Styela clava: one gene and its partners. The protein of the gene in region 2 purifies or fractionates together with the protein of the main gene of each other region. This does not show direct contact. Links are inferred from orthologs where the notes say so. Each region holds a gene or a part of one and is shown on either strand. Other genes may lie near its edges.

Region 1 (7,377 bases), on a different chromosome or scaffold from region 2:
CCCCGAGATGAATATGTGAATCGGGACAGTAGAGTCAAAGACAAGTTTCATCCAATTCCGACTTCAAGCCATTCAAAAAATGAGTCCCAGATAAGTGTTATCAAGAATTTTTTCTTCAACCCGGGTTCAGTTAAATCAATTCCGACACAAGCTCTAGTCAAACCTTCCTTCCTAGTGTCTATTGAAATTTCAAAGTGAGCTTCTATTCAACTACATAAAGCATTCAGGCCCACAATATCTATTCGATAATTATGGAAATCAAAGTTGATTGTGGAAATGGAACTGCTTAAAAAAAATTCATTTGCGGCATAAAATATTCAGATTGTAAGCAATGCCTCACGTCTCTGACATTCTGCAATCTAAGTCTAATCTTCGCTTTCGTTGAAGGTTTAAAAACGTTATTTTTCTAGAGATAGGAAGACCCTGCGAAGTTCCGGGACTGTATGTGTGAGCCAATAGAATATACCCCCTCACCTGTCCATAGGCTTCAGTCCCTTTACACAACTTGATGTAAAGTAGGCGAACAAAATTAGTTATATCCATATTGGTAAACATACTTCTGGAGTGCCAATAAAATTATTCATAGAGTCTTGTAGATAGAGATGCAGTCTTGTACTTTCAACATATTTAGAATCATGTTGTTCAACCAAACTGTAATAATATTGATAACTAATCATTGTTATTTCAGAAAGATAGTACTAGCCGGCCGAGGCAACAGACTTGATAAAATATCTTGGGAAGGGAAGTTACATAATTGCATTTTAAAAAGTTTACACACTGGAGATTTTGATGGAGATGGAACAACTGATGTCCTATGTGTTGCAGTAGATGGTGTCGAAACGTAAGTGGTGTCTTGGATTAAAGATGAAATTCCATTTATTCATTGTGAAATGTTGACCACAGTCCCACGCCTGGTTATTGATCCTGTGGTGGTAGAGAATAGGTCAGTGGCTCCCAACCTTTAGGCTAGGAGAGGATTTACATATTTAGGTTGTGAAACACTGAAATAGATCACAACCCATTTTATACTGGAAGCAGGACGAGATATAATTATGATCACACCTTATTTTGTGTCCTTATGTGTTAAGTTTTTTAAATTCTCCCAACACACAAATGAATGATAATTTTGGAAGAATTGAAAAAGAACATTATTTATGTCTCTCAAATAAAAAACTTTTTTCAGAGACATGATACTCTTCCCAATTCGACGTGGAGAACCCAAAGATCCGGTGATGATCGGCAATCTTTGTGTTGATAGTAATTGGAAAGTTTACGTCGTTGATGCAAACGGAGATGGAAAAGATGATATTTTATGTCGAGATGAAACAGTCGAACCAAAGAAATTTTCAAAGATTCATTTAAATATTTACGAAATCTAATTCGAGTTTTTTAACGTTTTGCTTTTATTTTTCGATGCTGGTATTGAATGTAGATGAATATAATATATACGCAAACAGGTAAAAAATATGTAAGACGTTTGTTTCTATAAATGAGCACCATTCTGATATTCGTCCAGAGGACAGGAAAGCTAACAAGGCGGCTTAGGGTTTACATATTTAATCCGGGCAGGGGGAAAGCCGTTAAGACAACTTAATCATATGGTTAACCACGATGTCAGGTCCGGTTACCAGTCCATAGGATAGGATTTACATATTTATCCCGGGGAGAGGAAAGCCGATAAGACGGCTTATCTATATGACGAACCACGGCCTCTCGTCCGGTTACCATTCCAAGTCGGGTATGGGATTAGTTTTACTGTATTGTTTGTTTTCGGAAGCATGGACTTGGTGGTGGATGAAGCCGTAACCGACCAGCGGTTACGTGAACCACCCAACGACGGCGAGGAGTCCAGCAATCCTCTCGCACATAACCATCCCTGCATGGGATTCGAACCTGTGAACCCACGCAGAGTAATTAGAGGTGCGGTGGCCAGCGTATTCCTAACGCTTAGCCCGTTGAGCCACACCGCCGCGCCAATGTCAGGTATGGAATTAGTTAGCCAGTTATTTTGCTTCCAGATGCATGAACTTGGTGGAGGAATCCGACCAGCGGTTACGTGAACCACCCTATGCCCTCGAGGAGTCCAGCAACCCTCTCCCACATAATTATCACCCACGGGATGCGAACCTACGCAGGGTAATCAGAGGTGCTGTGCCGTGGCAAGCGTACTCCTAACGCTTAGCACATTACGCCTCACCGCCGAGCTTAATAATATTTTCAACCTCTCGTCCTGTTTCCAGCCGATGGCGCGTATAGCGATAGTTCTGTATCCCATCATATATACCAGATGGTGAGATGCATCATATATACAGTTATGCAAAGAAAATGATTGATATAACAAAACATGGTAGCTAATCTTTATGTTGCATTCTTTGATGGTGTTTAGACAGGGGAGTATTGAAATTTTTACCTCAATCAGCGTTCAGTCAGGGATACCGTAGGTTTTTAGATGATCTATTTCAGGGATGGCGAACCTTTTTCAATGAATGGGTCAAAAATTATAATTTTATCGTGGAACAGAAGAGAGTGGGTCACAGATATTTAATTCACGTTTGTATCTATAAGAAACTTCTGAAACAAATCTTATAAGCTGGTGTTGGTGTAGTTTTGGGCTTTACTTATGCAGCACTTCTATCAGGGACTTTTCATGGCACTCGGTTTTATGATATTAGAGTACGAAAACACGAAAACGTTTAGGATGATGCGTTAAATTATTCTACGGTTCTAGTGTTTGGAGGTAATTCCGCTTTGATAGCGTTATAATTTTCGATCAGCTTTCAACCACATTAAGCCACTTTTACACTGCCCCATTGTTTCATCAGATTTCTAGATTTTTATTTCAAGACTGAAAGTTTTTGTTTTCACAACAGCATTGTAGACGAGAAACTAATAAAATGCAAAGTAGCATCTAGTTCTCGTATAACCCCTAAAACAGTCTGCAGATGCAATTCCAAAAAAGACAGGCGTTGCGAGAAATGAACAGATCAATTGCATTGTTATGTCATAAACGATGTCAGGCCCAATAGCTGAATAACGGTACACAGCGGTGCATACATGCGTACAAGATTAGGGGTTTTGAAAATTACCATACCGGCCCAAAAATCAACATTTTGAACTTGAGCGATCGCAGCCCTTCCTGACTGTCCAATTGACGGTACATTATAATAGTTTAGCTATTGTTAGATTAATTTAAGGCCGGTTTTATCAATTTTTATCACTGATATGTTAGCATTTTTTTTAATTTTATTCGTGCCTTCGCTTGGCGGGTCACAAATAAAACGCAGTGGGTCACTTTGTGACCCGCGGGTCAGTGGTTCGCCATCCCTGATCTATTTCAATGCAGATTCGCTAAAATAAAACGAAACACATTTGAAGAATCTGGGAAATGAACAAAACCTTCAAAATAAGTTTAAATGCATTATCTCATTTTATACTAATTAGTCGCTCGTTCAAATCTTCTAAATTCGAAAGATAACAAAAACCTATAATAGAAGAAAAATCAACATTATTGGCATCCGTAGTGGGGTCATTCCAATTGGGAATAAACCGAAATTCTGCTATTGCAGATAACGTTGTTTTGCGAAGCTCTTTTACTACGGAGAAGGCTTTTTACTTTGTTCGTTATTTTCCCATTAATTTACAAAAAAGACTTATTGATTTTCAAAAAAGTTTTTTTATTATTAATATTATTATTGGATACCCCCAATACAATTTCATTATGTTTCAAATTTTAAGGTTCAATCCATACTCAAAGTTTAGCCATAACTATCACCCAAAATTACTGCACAGATTCACAGAAATAAAATAATGGTAACACAGTTTCGACATGCATATCACAAAATGTACACTTTGGACTTGGTGTTTTATTTATTCTATATAACGGCTCATTTGAGCAGAAGTTTTGTTTTGTTTTGCATATCACAAAATGTACACTTTGGACTTGATGTTTTATTTATTCTATATAACGGCTCATTTGAGCAGAAGTTTTAGGTTTTGTTCGCTTTCCCGATTCTATAATCAGTTACTTTTACTTTTGTTTTTATATATTTTTTTATCGTCTATTGCTGATTATGGAGTCGAAATAAACTTATAACTTATAACTTATAAGTGAAGTTGAGATCAGAATGAGGTTACACTATTTCGATTTCCCGTCAAGACACATCAGCGATCACAAAAATACGATAAAACAATAAAGATATCAGGCCAATCAGTTTACAAAGATTTCTGTATTTTAAAATTGTTCATTACGGATAAGAAAAATGTTTAGAAGTTTTTTTAATAATTAGAATTAAATATATTGGTAATGAGAAGACTAGAAATTTCTTCGGTTGCTAATAACGCAATAAATCACGACATGCTTGGCTGGCTTCGTCAACGGGCGCACGCTTGTATTTCTTCAATGCTCACTTTGTAAAGCGTCGTTTCCTTGTTCCGCGTTCTGGCTCTGTCTATAATTCAAGCAAATTTTGATAACATAAATCATATAATATGAAAATTGAGGAGGTTAAGAGTACTACAAAGACACAGCGGATTGCAGCGCATACTCATGTCAAAGGACTGGGATTATCAGATGACGGTAAACCTCTTCAGACAGGATCGGGTCTCGTTGGCCAAGAAGATGCCAGAGAGGTAAAATATTTTTATTCGCACATTGCTAATTATTACTGCAATTCCAACAATATCTTTTCATTTATTTGTTCTGCGATTGCCTGTTATCTAAGTGTTATCTTTACTGTAAATAAGGCTCTGAACAAGTAGCAATTGATGACTTTGGTTACCGTAAAAGCGCCTAACTTCGGACAAAATTACTATATTTTTGTCAATAACTCGGCCATTTATTGTCCAAACGGTGCCAAAATTGCTCGGTAAAACATTCGTGCGGATAATTTACATTCCCTGTAAATTTCGGTTCAATTGGACTATTTTTACTATTAAAATAATCGATATTTCTTGCCATCTGACCGTTATCCTTCACTGCCCTAACTTCGGACAGTCATTTTCTTCACTGCGTAACCGCGATGCACAGAGAGAAAGAGGCTTCCGATGCGGATGGCGAAATCACGTCGTTGCGTGAAGATAAGACGCTCGATCGTCGTCGTAACGTAACATTGACATCACGACGAAAATGCATTATCTGAAACTTCTGTCGTCCTATGTTTACATCTTTCGTTCGTTATTTTCGATACTTCAGATGAGTATAATAACACGATGGTCATTTTAATCAGGAAATGCATACGTAAATATATCTGATGCAAACCGTTTCAATCCCCAATGAAGTATTTCAACGGGCTTCTATCGAAGTCTTTGAAGTATTAATATTCTCGACGGATAGCTTTTTTTTATTCTGCGCGGTTATCTTTATAAATGATAATTTATATCAAACACACGGTAAATCCGATTGTAAAGTTTAATTTGAAATTCAACTTAATCTTGTAAACATGTAGGTCCCGTTTATTTGTTGGAGATTAAATTTATTTTTAATTTCGAGTGAATAAAATTCACCCAGGCCGTATTCAATAACTGTCATTTCGACTACTAATCATAAAATAATGGTTAAGTCAGTGCACTGTACCATATGGACGTTGGAATTATCATAGTTTTATATATTCGATTCCTAACGTCATCGATTAAGTGTGACATGTATTTTCATTAATGTAATTTTGGCATATATTTATACATGACCGAACAAAATACAAAAATATTACATTGGAATGCCGTCTTTATCTTAACGGAAATTGTCATATTGGCTCCGTTGTGTCTGGCGTCAAAATTCATTTCCACGACGCAGTGTGACGTCGTGTCGGAAGTGAGCGAAAAATAATCTACGTGAGGTTGACGTAATTTTGACGCTGCGTGAAATCTTAATATTCTTACGGAATTTATAATTCAGAATTTTAGGTTTTATTTAAATCTCATACGACATCTTGCGATCACTCAAATAAATTATATACATTGTTGTCGCCCTCTACCGAATGATGGTATTTTGACGACGATAGCTTCAGTATGAGCGACGCTCTGCGCCGTTGAATGCCGGGCAGTCAATTTTCGGCAAAATTTCCGTTTTTTCACCAAAAAAATATTTATGCAACATTAAAAAAGATGAGAATAGATGTAGATATAACAGCGCAACCTATAATAATTAAAATTAGCAATATACGGCGCGTTTTAGCCAAGATATGGCCGTTCAAAAATTTTGTCCGAAGTTAGAAACTGTCCGAAGTTAGGCGCTTTTACGGTATATATTGGATCTATGGGTTTATTGAGAAGACTGAAGTTTAGCTATATCACAGTCTCCGTGACCAGGTGGTTCAATGGTTAGCAAGGTTTGCAGTGTCAAAAACTCTCTCTGCTGGTACAGTCGGGCACAGTCTTCCGATTCTGTCCGGACATTTGGTTCAATAAGACAAAACTCAATTTGTCTCTGAAACGAGGACATCTGGCACAACGTCAGATTGCGCCATGCTTATCTCAATCATAAATGAATCGCGAAGTGCCTCGGCCGTCACATCGCAGTATGACCAAAATTGCGTTTTTTGCTAAAAACTCATGAATGCTACGATACAATTTGTTTTCCTTCAGTAAATCACATTATTTTTTTTTCGAGGATTTCAATGGTAACATTTTCAGATTGCACTTCCTTTTAGTTTGTTGCGCAGTGCCTGTTTGTTGATTTTTGCCAATATGGAGGCTCAGGATGGCTTCGCAATCACTGTTATAATTGATGTCGTTCAATCTATTCTTGAAATCATCGAACTGTGTCGTACTGACATATGCTGATACAAAACCATCATTCTGCTATTATATTGTCATACTTGATTTCTTTCAGGCATGCGGCATTGTTGTGGAGTTGATTAGAAGTAAGAAAATGGCTGGACGAGGAATTCTGCTAGCTGGACCGCCTGGAACTGGGAAAACAGCTCTTGCTTTGGCCATCGCACAAGAACTTGGAAACAAGGTTTGTTCTTGCTTTGCAGTAATGTCTTACAAAGGACTAAATTCAAATTGGATATAGTCAGTATCTATCTTATATAAGCAGTTTTAAATTGGAATCCCCGTGTCTGCAGTGTGTTTATGTTACCAAAGTTAGATGCCCGAGCGACACGCATTTGTGTTTTTTATATTTTTTAAGATATTTGTTTGTGTGTGTAATATGGGTATACACATGTGTTTCTACGTGTTTTAATAAACCTTAAATGAGGTTTTGCCAGTTTTCCCGATTTTCTCAATTTAGTGTGTGTTTATTGTGTTGTTTTGCATGGTTTTATGTTCCAGGGAAATCAAAATGAGTATTGTACTTATCTTCTGATCTTACTCCAAGTAATTTATCTTATTTAAACCGGAAGAAAAACTTACAGAATTGCATTTAGAAATCTGTCA
Region 2 (6,874 bases):
GGAGACTCTTGGCTAGTCTTCGAACTGATAATAGGACTAAAATAAGGAAAATTGAAAAAAAATTATCGCCTAACCCTAACCTGTCACCAATGTTACGTTCCGATGTCCGCCATCTTGGTTCGCATACTTCGGGAGCATCGTAGTTTTGGTACTATGCGAGAGAGCACCATTCTGACCGAAATTTTGCCTTTTTTTTGAATATTTGTATCCTTCAATTTATTTTTAAATTGGCTTATTGATTTGAGTCTTTCACTTGTGTTCTGCTTCAGATACGATACCGGTACCTGGCTAGTATGACGTTATCAACGTAGTTTACCAAATATGGAAAATAAATGTGCTGTACTTTCTCCTGCTATAATATCACAGCCTTAGGCTAACATGATAACATTTGACGGTGATAATCAGTCAGGTGGAACCGGTGTTCCTGGGGTAAAATGGTATCTTTGTTCAGAATATTCGCCAAAACCCACCAGACCACTGACTATAAAGCTGCTATATCAACGCATTGAGGACAACCGCGGACAATAATTATTTTTTTTCAAATAAAATTTTTCGCCCTTGGGATTTCGCTTTTATGTATGTGAACACCGGCGAGAAAAGACGACGATGGTTGTCGATCGTATGTATGACACTCACAATGTTATACCTCCATTTCGGAATTGTATATTATATAGCACCATGGTTCGGTGAAGTGTAGGCGTTCACAGGGGTGGTTTCAAATGTATACTTGTACTTTTTGGTTGTATGCTGGATATATGTCGCTTTTGGCGTGTGTGAGAATGAGGGGCGTCTTGCAGTTGGCTATTATACATTTAGCGATAAAAAATTAACGGTGTTAATTGCATCTAATTTCACAGAGTCTGCTACATGCTCTTAAACGACCCGGATCAGTTTTGTTTTAATAAATGGATCAGGTCTCCAGAAAATACATAGATACAAAATTATCGGAATAATCAATAACTATGTCAGGATTTGGGAACCATTATTTTTACGTATAATGTGAAGCTTTACGTATAATGTAGAGTAGCGCTCACACTGCGCTCCCTATTCGGATCACTACTGCCGCGCATAATGTAGATTGTGGACCAGTGTTCTTCAACCTTTTTTATCGAAGTATACCTTTTACAGTTTTTCAAGAACTTTGTATACCTTACAAATACCAATGTTTATTTAAGGCGGCTCAAAATAAACAATAAATTGTAAGCACATATTGTACTGCAATATCATCATGCAATCTAATAGGCTAGCGACCGCAGGTTATAAATTTGACTGACTGCCTTAGCGTCGACGGGAATAATGTTCGACATAAATGAAACAAAGTGCATGGCAGCCGAAATCACCAACCCAGACACATGATCGTATTATCTATATAATTTGTGATGTAACAACGTGCTCACGTCGGTTCTTAGCGTTATAACATTTTATATTTCGTGTGCGGTTCCATTATTGTCTCCGATTGAATATTTTATAATTTATTATATATATTAGAGTTTAGATTTTCTGATTTAGGCTGTACACCTTTCGTATACCCGTGTCGCTCATCGGGCTTTAGGTGTATACGGTGTCAGGCTTTTCGTCTGTTTTCAGTGTGTATCTGTTTTACAGTAATTATTTTGTGGCACCTGGCCAACGTATATTCTATGTTATACGATTTGATAAGGCTTTGTTTTCCCTAAGCTAGCGATTTACTAACCCTTCTACGCATCCACAAGGTAGTATTAACTGTAACGACATCGCTTTAGCTCAGTTTGTTTGTGATCTGCGCGCTTGCATGCGTTTTCTGTTGAATATTCCTATTGCATGTTGCTCTGGCCCTCAGCAATACCATTGAGTCGGTTTATGACTTTAAATGTCTAATCCGCTGTAATCAGCTTAAAAGCTTCTAACCCCAGGCGCGGACTTGATTTATTTCGTGTTATCGATTTGCATTTAATAAGTCACTAATCGTAATCAAATCCGCCACTGGAAATGTCCGCGTTTTATTGATAACATACATGCATTTCGTGGGAATGGATTATGTTTACGAAACAGCACTTGTGTCAATCGTGTTCTGATTGACATGTAAACTAGATTTGTACTCACGCGCCAAAAGGACATAAATTCTGAGCGTTTCTGTTAAACATAAGGATAGACAGAAAGAGGTCGGGCAATAGCCTCACATAAGACGCAGAATCAGAGAAAATTAGTCGTGATGCAACAACGGGATAGTATCGGATAGAAAATGCCGAAAATGTAGGATTTCCTGCAAGATGTCTTCTATTATTGTAGGGAAGGAGAAGAACATCGTGCAATGAACTACAAGCGAACTTACGTCTGAAACAATTACAGTAATGTCAAAACAAACTGCGTGGCTGTTTCACGCACACTCGCGGAATACACACTGGGAGTTACATCCAAAGGCTGCAGCCAGCGGTAAGTACGTGCTGAGCGGATGCGGATTATACTGGTCTGTCTACAATGAAGCTATTGTTCTAATTGAAAACATTCCGTATTTAACATTTTCCTGTCGTTGTATACGAGCACAAATCAAAGCGGATATCGATACCGACAGAAGACTATATCATCGTGGATAGAAATATGTTTGCTATGAAAACGCAGGATTATATAAATCAAATTGATTCCAGCGTTACATCAATTTAAAAATGCGTTAAATATTCGCTTGAATTGAACGACAGTTGTAAATTGATTAGTGCGTTTTGATTAGAGTACAGTATTGCATATTTTGATAAATAAATATTGACATCATTGGGTTATCAATTTCACGGCTAATTTTACCGTTTCCCGTAGGAAACAGCAGCGATCGTCTTTTCAAGCTTACGATTTTTTATTGTATTGTCGCGTGAGTGTTCGGGAGGCCTAGTCACGCGTGTCAGTTTTTTCTGTGGCGAGTCAGTGGTTTTGTTTGGATACGTCATAATTTCAAGCTGCACTTGTGCGCCGTGGATGACTAATGATTGTCGCCCACAAACTTTTTCTCCCGACTCCGTTTCGCCTTTTTCTCGTCTGGTTGACGCCATTTTGAAAAGCACTCGTACGTTTCGACTGCGGTAGCGCAAGTGTCATAATGGATGTGCTCTTTCTTGGCGCTATGGGTTTTTGTATATATCTGAATATGTATGCGATGTATTATCGTAAAGGAACGGAATTAAGTAGTTTAGTTTCATTTAAGGTACAGTATCGTCGTACATTCTTGTCGAAAATTCGATTTCATTATGTACATAAAATGAAACGAACTATTTCGCGTGTGTGTGCGAACGCGTCACTCCGCCCACTCGAGTACGAGTCTACGAAATTGTCGCCAGCCCGAAAAGTGGTCAGGGAAAATTGATTGTACCGTACTTAGCTTTTGTCGAACTGCCGGGCCGAAGTTACAGCTATATACTGAATATATCAGTTAGATAGTGTAGTATTACTGTATTATTTAGAAACTTCCTTATACAGTTATAGTACGGCACCAAGCCCACCATCGCGCTGCCAAAAAATAATGTATCATGGTTTGGTCAAGTTAAAAATTTGTAGATTTTGGTTAATTTATATACGATGCTTAGTTGATATACAGGTATTCAGAAAAAACAGTGTTATGATTAACTAGCTCTCCCGATTCCATAATCAATTTTTATTTATTCGTTTTTAACAGTCATTTTATTGTTACGCTGATTATGGAGTCAAACTATACTTATACACTTATAACCCAGTCATAAATAATGACTAAATACTGAATTATTGTTTTAAGTTTGAATTTTAACAAGCGTTTCAATTTCAAGTTAAGATTTTAAATACAATTTTATTGGTATTTTTGTTGGGCCTTCTAATCAATCATGTCGGAAATGATGATAGCCCCGGGATATTCCAGTCATAAATAATGACCAAATACTGAATTATTGTTTTTAGTTTGAATTTTAACAAGCATTTTAAGTAAAGATTTTAAATACAATTTTATTGATATTTGTGTTGGGACTTCTAATCAATCATGGCGGAAATGATGATGAGCCCCGGAGATATTCCGATGGCAGATCCCAAAGCTCAAATGAACCAATGGCAGCAAGGTGGATGGGATTCTGGTATCAACTCAGGAGCAACAACTGCCAATCCATCAGTCACTGGAACAGTGGATGACTACACAGACACCGAGCAAGTTTTGCGAGAATGGCAAAGGGAATTAACCATGGAAGAAGCAAATCGTATGTTTATCAGTTTCGTTTTTAGATACAAGTAGAATCATAATGCGATATTTTTATGTAGGTACGGTATCAATAAAGTTTAATCAATTTTATATTTCTTGTCTTCTGGAAATTCCAGCTTTATTCCTGAAAATTTCAAGAAACTGTCTTATGCCTAACAATTTTACACATTTTTGACTATTTTAATGTGATCACATTTTTAAGACCATATGAAAGGCTGAAAATTTTTGTGGTGCCCTTCACAACGAAGGTGGCGGAATTGAAGTATACAGGGGAATGCGCTATTGAGTTATTTCTTATTATTTAGTATATGAAACTTTGATTTGCAGAATTGAGTGACCAATTTGCTCGTACTCGCGCCGACAGAGTTCGAGATGTTCTTTTTCCTGAAACCTCAATGGATGATGGATCCATGCAGCAGATTCCGAGCACACAATTTGATCCCAACAATCCAACTGCTGTTCAAAGATTGGCGGAACCATCTCAAATGCTGAAACATGCTGTTGTTAATATTATCAACTATCAGGTATTAAGATATAAATATTGTATTATACGTCAGTGTACCCATCAAACAAAAAAGTGTTATACAAAGAACTGAAATGCTTTACTTATGTGGCATTCACTACCTCATAATTACACAAGTGAAGGGACAGCCATATTCTATAGTTTCAGTAGATATTTGTAACTCAGTAATATATTGAAACAGTCCTAGTTCATTTAGTGTTATGATTTTCAAAACACAAGAGCCAAAGATGATGAATGTTGCTATAGATTTAAAAATACCCCAAAATTTGTGCGACCAGTAACAATCATCCCCTCTGCACATCAGAATGAATTTTAGATTGTTGCCTATGTCGAAACTAAATATCTTTGTTCCTTTAGGATGATGCTGATCTTGCTACAAAAGCAATTCCAGAGCTAACCACTCTACTCAATGATGAAGATCAGGTTGTCGTGCAACAAGCTGCACAGATGGTTCATATGCTTTCTAAGAAAGTTGCAAGCCGTCAGGCTATCATGAATAACCCTGGAATGATTGCTGCGCTTGTGAGAGCAATGCAGGTAAGGCTATTGTTGATGGAGACATCTTTCCATGAGAGGCATTTTCACAGATGAGAATCTAGTGTCACTGTGGATGGTCACTGTGGATGCCTATTAGGGCTGGGCAAAATATTCGAATAGCGAATAGAATATTAAATTATTTGAATGGCATTTTACTATTCAAATATCGGGTACCACGTGATCTGTGTCGCTTCACTCGGATACAGAACGTCTCTGAACCGAACGTGAATTGCTCGAGAATTCACCTACAATGCTCGCTAACAGACAAAAGCGACAAATTTGAAAAATTGTCTTTGCGTTGTGGTGTTATTTGTTTTCTTTGCGTTCCAATCGTTCGTTTCAACTGCCTATTTTGCAAAAAAAGATACCGACACCGTTCCCTAAATTTAGAAACGACAAATCAGATGAGGTATTTAAAATAAATATCCCAGATTTTAAACTCCGTATGGTTGGCGGCACGTGAACCAAACATAAATTTGTTTAACGAAAATTAAAATTTGAAATAACCTTTGCATGAAACCATACATAGTATAACACGCACAAGCTATGACCAGAAAAGAAATGGCAGAACATAGTTCTTTTAATGTACTTTCAATTAATTCTTTGGTGATCCCTTTCATTCTTGACCAAGTGATGTTTCGAAAATGTAATCGTTTCACTCGGTCATGCATGGCGGGTGGAGTGTAAAAATCATAACGTAAAATCAGTCGTGAATTTCGATGTAACAACGCGCACTGTTTACGAATTGTTGTATCATCGGAAATGATTACATTCGTTATATTTTGAGCATTTTTGCACTAAAATTGTGAATTACTCTGTAACGATGGATCGCGGGGTTTCTTGAAAGAAAACGTCGGAACTTGAAAGATTTAGTTATATTTAGCGCCTGGCAATCTATTAGGCACAAAAGAGCAATTTTTTTCATTCAGCATCGGGTCGCATATGTAAATTATTATTCAAGAAGCGCTGTTTATTAACGTCAACTCTTCATAGGGCTACGCAGAAATGCCTTTATTGCCGAATTATTTAGTCACCACTCACCATTTTAAATCAACATTCGAGATTGACGCAATCGCAGCTTTGCGAGGTTTATCTGTAAAGTAACATAGACACCATAGAAAAGCATAGCAAAGTTAATTTTGGTATTGTCTTAATAAATATCTGCATCCCGGTATCAATAGTAATATTACCGTTCGCTTGATATTGTGACGGTAAATTTACAAACGTTGATAAGTAATATGAAAGCCAACGCAAATGATGAAAATTAGAATAATATTAATTTGGGTTTGAAATCAATCCTTAATGGTTTTAACAGCTGTTACCGACGTGAACGCACGGGTGAACCGGAAATATAAACTTGTCCGACGACCCGAAAGAATTAATACTTGCAAAAAACAGAAAGGGCGGTAATGCCGGTAATATAGATTATATATCGCCGCAAAAACGGTCACTGTGACAAAAACGATCAGCGATTATGACGAAATCAACCAGTAAAAAAACGCTTTGTAGCCGATTTTTCAATGTCTTATTAATTTCCAAAGGAAGTATCGACCGACGTTCTGGACCTTCCATTGTGCATAAAAATATTCGTTATTCGACTATTCGATATTCGTTAAAAATATTCGAATTAT
Region 3 (7,160 bases), on a different chromosome or scaffold from region 2:
GGCCCATATCAGAACCGTATAATAAAATATCATTATAATTGAGTTGTCGCAAATATACACGTGCTTAAACTGTGATAACGGCGTAAAAATTGGTATCTAGAACGTAAAAAGATGATAAATATGAAGTGTTTAATTTTTTCAAATAAGTTCGACGGGCCATATTAAATCGTTGCGCGTGCCGTAATTGGCCCGCGGATAGAGAACCACTGATCTTGAACAGACTGAATCGAATAAACTTTTTATACAGACTTCAAAAATAATAATTCAATTTGAAAAACATCTTACCGGTTGTCCAGATCCGTCGTACATACATCCTACGACATTATCAAGGAGTTGAATATCCAATTTCTGTGAGAAGTCCAGCAACTGCTGGCCGACTTGCTGAGTTAATACCGTTCCCATGGAATTAGTATTGATTGGTGGCGTCATTTTGTTGGATGCCTGGAAAAAGAAATATTTCAAAATTTTAACTGATTAATTCATTAATACTGTCACACCATGACATGATAGGATTTTCATATTTATTTCAAAAGGGAAAAGATGATAATTTTTTGGCGTGGCAGAGCCTTGTATCAAGTTATATGCTTTTAAACTTATGCTCTAACTTATTTTAACTTATGCTCGCCTCCCAGGTATCCTTGCATTTTGTTTGTCTGCTTACTTTTTGTGTCATTTATGTTAAAGAACCAGAATAAAATGATTGATAATGATAACATGGCTCAATCATATGGCAAACCATGGTCTTTCATTCAGTTACCAGTCCATGTTGGGTACGGAATTAGCTATTCGTTGAGATGCATGGACCTCCTTACAGCAGATATTTTGGGTACCACCGTAGTATGTGAACCAAGATGGCGGACACCGGAACGAAGTATGTGTACCAGGTAAGGCCTTAAGTACAGGTACAAATACTACGGGAGTCACTTGGCTCGTTCCGAACTAGTAATAGAACTAAAATAAGAAAAATTGGAATACAATTATGGCCGAACCTTAACCTGGTATACATACCACATTATGGTATCCGCCATCTTGGTGCACATACTACGTAGCGCCAATATTTTTACAACAATAACCTGTTAACTATAACCAAAACTAAACTGTATCGGTATGAGTTTGTAGTTCGCGAAAGGATCAAACATCTCAAAAAATAGGGGAAAGTTGATAAGATGGCTTAACCATAATATGGCAAACCAAGGCCAGTTACCAGTCCATATTGGGTGTGGGAATAGTTATCCAGTTAAAAACAATAATCTGGTTTGATCATATGACATAATATGGCTCTCATTACCAATTTATGGTATATAACAACCAATAAATTTGATTTTAAAGCATAGTTGACATAGTAGGGCAGAGTGAATGTCAATTTAATTTTTTCAATCAATAAAAATAAATTGTAAATTTGAGAAAAAAGTGTACACGTTGTTTTACTCTAGAGAAGAAGCGCAGCAGGATACAGCCATATACCCAACACTACGCTCCAGAAGTATGCGTACCAGTATATACGCAACAAATTTTGTTCGCATACTTTACATCAAGGGACTGAAACCTATAGGTAGGGGGATATTTACTTGGCTAACACAGGCAGTCACCGAACTCGTAATAGAACTGAAGTGAGAAAAATCAGAATAAAATTGTGGCCTAAACCCAAGATGCTGACATGGTACATACTACGGGAGGTGACCGTACATTTGAACCCATGCGTATATCCATGGGTTCAATCTATATACGGGTGCTAAAATCCATGGGTTAGGGTTAGTATGGGTTTAACTATCCGTGAAAAAAAAAAATTCCATAGATGCAATAGCATACAGGTGAAATTGTCATGGGTTCAAATGTACGTGGGTTCAAATGTAATGGAACCACTACGGGAGTATGATAGCCTTGTAACAGTAACATGGCCAGTGTCTTATTAACAAGGATCCATAGCCTTTCCTCCACCCTTGAGGTTCCTGTATTAGTCTTTTAAATTCAGTTGGCTCATTTTAATCATGCAATAAGTCTTTTGGGCGTTTCTACTATAAACAACACCTACAAAAATCATTTCCATTAGGTTAAATGGAAAATTCCTGTATGAAAAATACCCTGTGAACAAGTGGTCACAATATCTGTGATTAATATGAATTTATTTGTATATATATTTTATGAACATTGCGATATATCGTTTCAATATGTTGTTTCACATAATTAAAATTCTTTAACAAAACAAAAAGACGGTAAAATCACCCCCAAACCGTCCAAAATTTGATCGAACCGGCCAGCACTGGTTCGCAACACGGAAAAGTCATCTGCGCGTGAATCCACCTCGAGCGCGTCGCGCGTGTTATTAAACAAACCAATCTCACGCGCGCACACACACCATCGTGTAGTTTTCCACTCATCGTGGGAACCGTGAGAAAATTTCCATGACGTCACGGGCATTCAAAAGCGAGCGTTTCTATTTTCATTCGAAGTTGGGTGTTTCCCCGACTTATCACATACGATTTTAATTTCTTATATTATGTCCTCCCCACGAAAATAAAAATTGCCAATCGAGGATAGGCCTATAACCAGAAAAAATGAAATTGTAAACACATCATGGGGAAACCCCGCGAAACATTACTACATCTTTATGTAATTTTCCATTTGAACGTACGGTACACGGTACAGATGTGCCAGAATTTTGGAAGAAAAACACAATTTTACTAGTTTCTGACTGAATTTTGTTACAAAAATTTCGTAAATAGATTATAATATACTCACAGATTGCAAATCCGAAACGGATATCGCTGTAGCCGCCGTTTTGAAGGTTAGATTCGTTTCAAATTTCTGTTAAATACGTATTTAGTATTCTACTAGTCTACGCTTTCTTCTTGACGACTTATTCAAGTTATGCCTTCTTCAATATAAGCTTTGTAAAGTAACTGCTTTAAAATTTCTTTTACGACAAGTAACTCCTCCCTGCGAACAGTCAATTTCATGAAATGATATTCGAAAAGCAATTTACAGAAGAAGCGAGTCGAAGCTGCAACCGGTTTGATCTGGTTTTCGCAATGCGTTCGCACTTTTTCGTTTTTCATCGCGCTGGATTTATGACGTCATCGCGTTTTTTCGTTCAGTTATTTAGCTCTCTTTCGTCCAGCAGTAAACAAAGAATAGGCAAACTTCAAAACAAAATATAATTTCACATAACGTTAGCTATATCATACTGAAGTATAAAGATTTAATCAGTTTAAAAATGGTTCCGCAAGACTGATTCTGTCTAGAAATTTTGAACCCGCCATTTTTGAATCCGGAATTCACTTATCCGTGCGACCTGAAGTGGGCTGTTCGATTGCGGGCACCGTTTCGGTACTGTTGTACGGATTACCGGTACGAAAATGTATGTTTATTTGCCTAAAAATGTAACAGTATCTGCATAATAATTAAACGGTATAACAGAGACGGGATATATGTTCAAGACCTTACTTTGAATTATGCCTGAGGTTGCCAATTGTGACACATTTACAATTCTAAATGAATTAAGGCTAAACTTTAAATAGGAAGAAAAATTAAAACGTATCGATACTATTTGTTCTAGCCCTAGGTCTTCGCCGACTTCAGCAACTGTTGGGCACGCCTTGTACACAGGTAGGCTGATGCTCCGCGTATATAAACGCGTTTGTAACGAACGATTCGACACGACAATTGAAATTGTTGGACACGTGGTGGTGGATCGTTTTGCTGTTATGTTGATTTTGTTGGTATTTTTTTTCATGTTGTTACAAAAAAATCGTTTTTCTCATATACTAATGGACCATTGCTTTGAAATTTTCAATGGTTGAAGATTGTATTTTTTGCTAGAATGTTATTACTTTTATTCCTAAATTTTCAATGAGATCTGATATTTCATCCAAAATGTCGCCATATTCTTATATTTTCATGTTTTAATCCGCCAAACGCGGCGGCGAGATTCCGATTTGACGCGACGCTACGCGAGACTCGGAGATTAATTGATGCGGGTCGGAACTGTACAAAACGGAACCGTACTTTATTTTGGATTTCGTATAAATATATTTTCGCATTGCTTTTTTTAAATTTACGCTCTACAGTAATTTTTTATTACCTTTTAGGAAGTTTTGCACCTCTAAAATTTTGTAAAACCACAGGAAAACGTCTTTGCGGCAATGGTCTGAAAGTATCCTTATCGTAGGTCACAGGACTGGGCAATATCGCGTACTTGATGATTTAAAAATCTAATCTAAAAATTTTCAAATCAAATTCGAAATATTTTGAAGATATAATCGTATGTGGTATTTTCACTGTGATACATGGGTTAATAAGTTAAGAACTAAATGGATGACCGATGAATCACATTTTTTTCACACCGATCAGAAGTTGGAATTCTAGATTTTAAACAGCGCGTGAAAACTCGTGAACTCAACTCAGTCGTCTTACTAAGAGACATAAAATTACAAATGACATCTAATACGTGACACGTGTTGTTGCATCACTCTTGATAGCTTTTTGACATCAGGCGGCATGTTGCAACACACATCTCTCGAATAGAAAATGGATTTCATTTCCTCATTCCATTGCATCTTAAGAAGTTCCATCCGAATGTTTTCTGCAACCGTATCCACGTTGGCATCAAACGGAATACTAAACAGCCTGAATTCGTTTTTAAGACGGAAAATGACGTCAGCATGCTTTTGACCGCGTTTCACATCCTTTAACATTTCTTCTATTAGCCGAGTCAAGTTTCTAGCAGAAAGGCTGATATAGGAGAATAAATTTACTTTTTTTAGGGCCTACAATACCGACTGCAGTCATCAATTACTTTTTTACGAAGTGTTAAGCAAATTCAAAAACTTTTCGAAACTGGCAACAGTATTCTGTTCGTTTTCGTTGTAAATTGTTTTAGGAAGAAAGAGCTTTGTTTTGTTAGACCTACTTTGAATTGTTTACTCCTATCTTCACGTCTTTGGCCATCTATCCTCCTTTCTATTGTTTTTCTAAGCCGATTTTAAAATGCTTCGTTTCATAGTGACGTATAATGTTCTATTCCTTTTTGCCCAAGTGTTCTGCGCCTTTGAAACCTTTGCACTCAGCATCAACTTTTCTGCGTTGTTTGCCATTTTTCTGATTACAATTAAATTGAGGCTCATTAAACGAGTGTTCACTAAATTGTTAGATTATAATATAATTTAATCTAAACATATCTTACTATAAATTTTGTTACGCAAAGATAATACTGAACTACCCAAACGTAGATCGTAAAATTAATTCATCGTCTAAACCAGGCCTGGGCAAACAACGGCACTCGGGCCAAATCCAACCCGTTGGGGACATTGATTTGGCCCGCCCGATGCTGCCACAACCAAAGTAAAACCAAATTTTGGTGTCTCAGATAAAAATTAGCTCAAGGATTTTGTTGAGATTGCGATTAAATTCAGTTTAAGCACGAGGCTTATTGTTCCCCAATTTTTCTTTTGTGACACTGTAAATATTGTTCACAAAATGTAACCTTCCACGTTACACCTAATGGCCCGCCAGTCTAGGTGGCCCGCGGTACAATAACCTTGCCCACCCCTAAACCGTCGTTTTGTCGCCATAATTCACGGAAATGTCGCGAGCCGAATCAGGACCGCGGGCCGTAGGGTGCCGACCGGTGCTTTAGTACTCCAGGTACATTAATATCATTTGAACAGTTCGCTTCGCTTTCGCATCACAATAGGAAACTTATTCCATCAATAACTCACTTGGAAGACAGAAATAATCAAATGTCAGAATTGCTTTTAAAAAATTGAAGGATACACCTTGACTTCGCACAAAATAAACAAGATGGCGGCGATTCAAAATTTATGGTTCCATTATATTTGAACCCACGACAATTGCACCTGCATACTATTGCACCTATAAATTTTTTTTTTGTTTTGCGGATATTTGAACCCATACTAACCCTAACCCATGGGTTTTAGCACCCGCATATAGATTGAACCCGGGGATATACACATGTGTTCAAATGTACGGTCACAAAAATTTATGTATGCGAACAGATACGCATAATTCACTGTCAGATTCGAAATGCCCAGCTCTAATTGTATATATATACGCTTGTTAGATGCAACCGCGAAATGTTCTATAGGTAGGCTTACAGTATGTCTGACGCAAAAAACGAGACTGTGCGGATAGGACAAGCCGATCTTGGTTCGATCCCTTAGCTTAGTAATAATTGTGAATCAAAATTAGCTGTAAACCATACTAAAATGTCCTCTATTGGTCTTTGCTTCAAATAATGGAAATCGCTCTTTAATTTATCAGAAAACTTGCACTTTGTTTTTTTGCATTTTGATGATTCAACGACAGTACAGTTGGGTGTTGAATTAACGCATGGTACATGGTACTTCATAACATAACTATGACATAACAATCTGAACTAGTAAGGTGAGTTGTAAACCAGTAGGAGTTCACCTGCGTCCGGTAAAAAACAATTTTGTATGAATATCAAATAAAAAAGGCATACTTTCATACTGCATAACCGGTCATTGAGGTCTATCGGCCGGGACGGCGCAACAACTATAGCTAAAATCGGGATTGCCCCGACTATACCGATATGTATGGTAAGCCTTCTCGGCGGTATGGTGCATTGTGCCAAGCGCTAGAAATACGCTCGCCACCGCACCGGTTATGCAGTACGACAATTGTAAAGATTCTTTTATTCGATATTAATACATTTTTTTAACGAAGGGAGCCGATTTTCCACTGATTTTCAACTCAAGAAAAATCCCCAAAATAATACAGTTACTTATTTCAATTTTCTTCGAAAAATAACACTAGGGCTTATTTTTTGGGGATGTCCTTTATTTTCATATATCAAAAACAAGATTGCAAAGTAGAGAATTACCAGATTTTCAAATATATATACAAAATATAAAAACCGATATCCATTTACTTGTGAAAAACACGTTCATATTTAACCTAGATTATTCAGGTCATTGAACCCTTTTCTCTCTCACAAGTTTTAGAATTCGTATTATTCATTTAAAACGTGTAGGAGAGATTTTGGTACTCCCGAAGTATGTTTACCAGGTTAGGTTTATGCAATAATTTTGTTCCAATTTTTCTATATTTAGTTCTGTTACGAGTTCGGTGACTAGCCAAGTGACTCCCGTAGTATTTGTACCTGAAAATATGGCCTAACC

The links. Proteins that work in one complex are often made in the same cells at the same time.
Region 1: the proteins of catenin beta-1-like (region 2) and ruvB-like 1 purify together in Homo sapiens (affinity purification with mass spectrometry; 6 studies listed by BioGRID and IntAct, with this or other methods). This does not show direct contact. The link is inferred for Styela clava from reciprocal best matches to the Homo sapiens genes CTNNB1 and RUVBL1.
Region 3: the proteins of catenin beta-1-like (region 2) and exportin-1-like purify together in Homo sapiens (affinity purification with mass spectrometry; 3 studies listed by BioGRID, with this or other methods). This does not show direct contact. The link is inferred for Styela clava from reciprocal best matches to the Homo sapiens genes CTNNB1 and XPO1.

Annotation. Positions count from the first base shown.
Region 1 is NC_135256.1:5,659,319-5,666,695, forward strand, and holds the start of ruvB-like 1, read left to right. Parts: upstream 1-4,376; 5' UTR 4,377-4,488; coding exon 4,489-4,629; intron 4,630-6,826; coding exon 6,827-6,955; intron 6,956-7,377. Other genes in the region: uncharacterized protein LOC120328125, read left to right, coding at 689-841, 1,184-1,379. UniProt on the Homo sapiens protein: Possesses single-stranded DNA-stimulated ATPase and ATP-dependent DNA helicase (3' to 5') activity; hexamerization is thought to be critical for ATP hydrolysis and adjacent subunits in the ring-like structure contribute to the ATPase activity.
Region 2 is NC_135250.1:17,839,003-17,845,876, forward strand, and holds the start of catenin beta-1-like, read left to right. Parts: upstream 1-3,866; 5' UTR 3,867-3,970; coding exon 3,971-4,181; intron 4,182-4,510; coding exon 4,511-4,707; intron 4,708-5,063; coding exon 5,064-5,243; intron 5,244-6,874. UniProt on the Homo sapiens protein: Key downstream component of the canonical Wnt signaling pathway.
Region 3 is NC_135255.1:23,657,020-23,664,179, forward strand, and holds the start of exportin-1-like, read right to left. Parts: upstream 3,002-7,160; 5' UTR 2,740-3,001; intron 442-2,739; 5' UTR 430-441; coding exon 286-429; intron 1-285. UniProt on the Homo sapiens protein: Mediates the nuclear export of cellular proteins (cargos) bearing a leucine-rich nuclear export signal (NES) and of RNAs.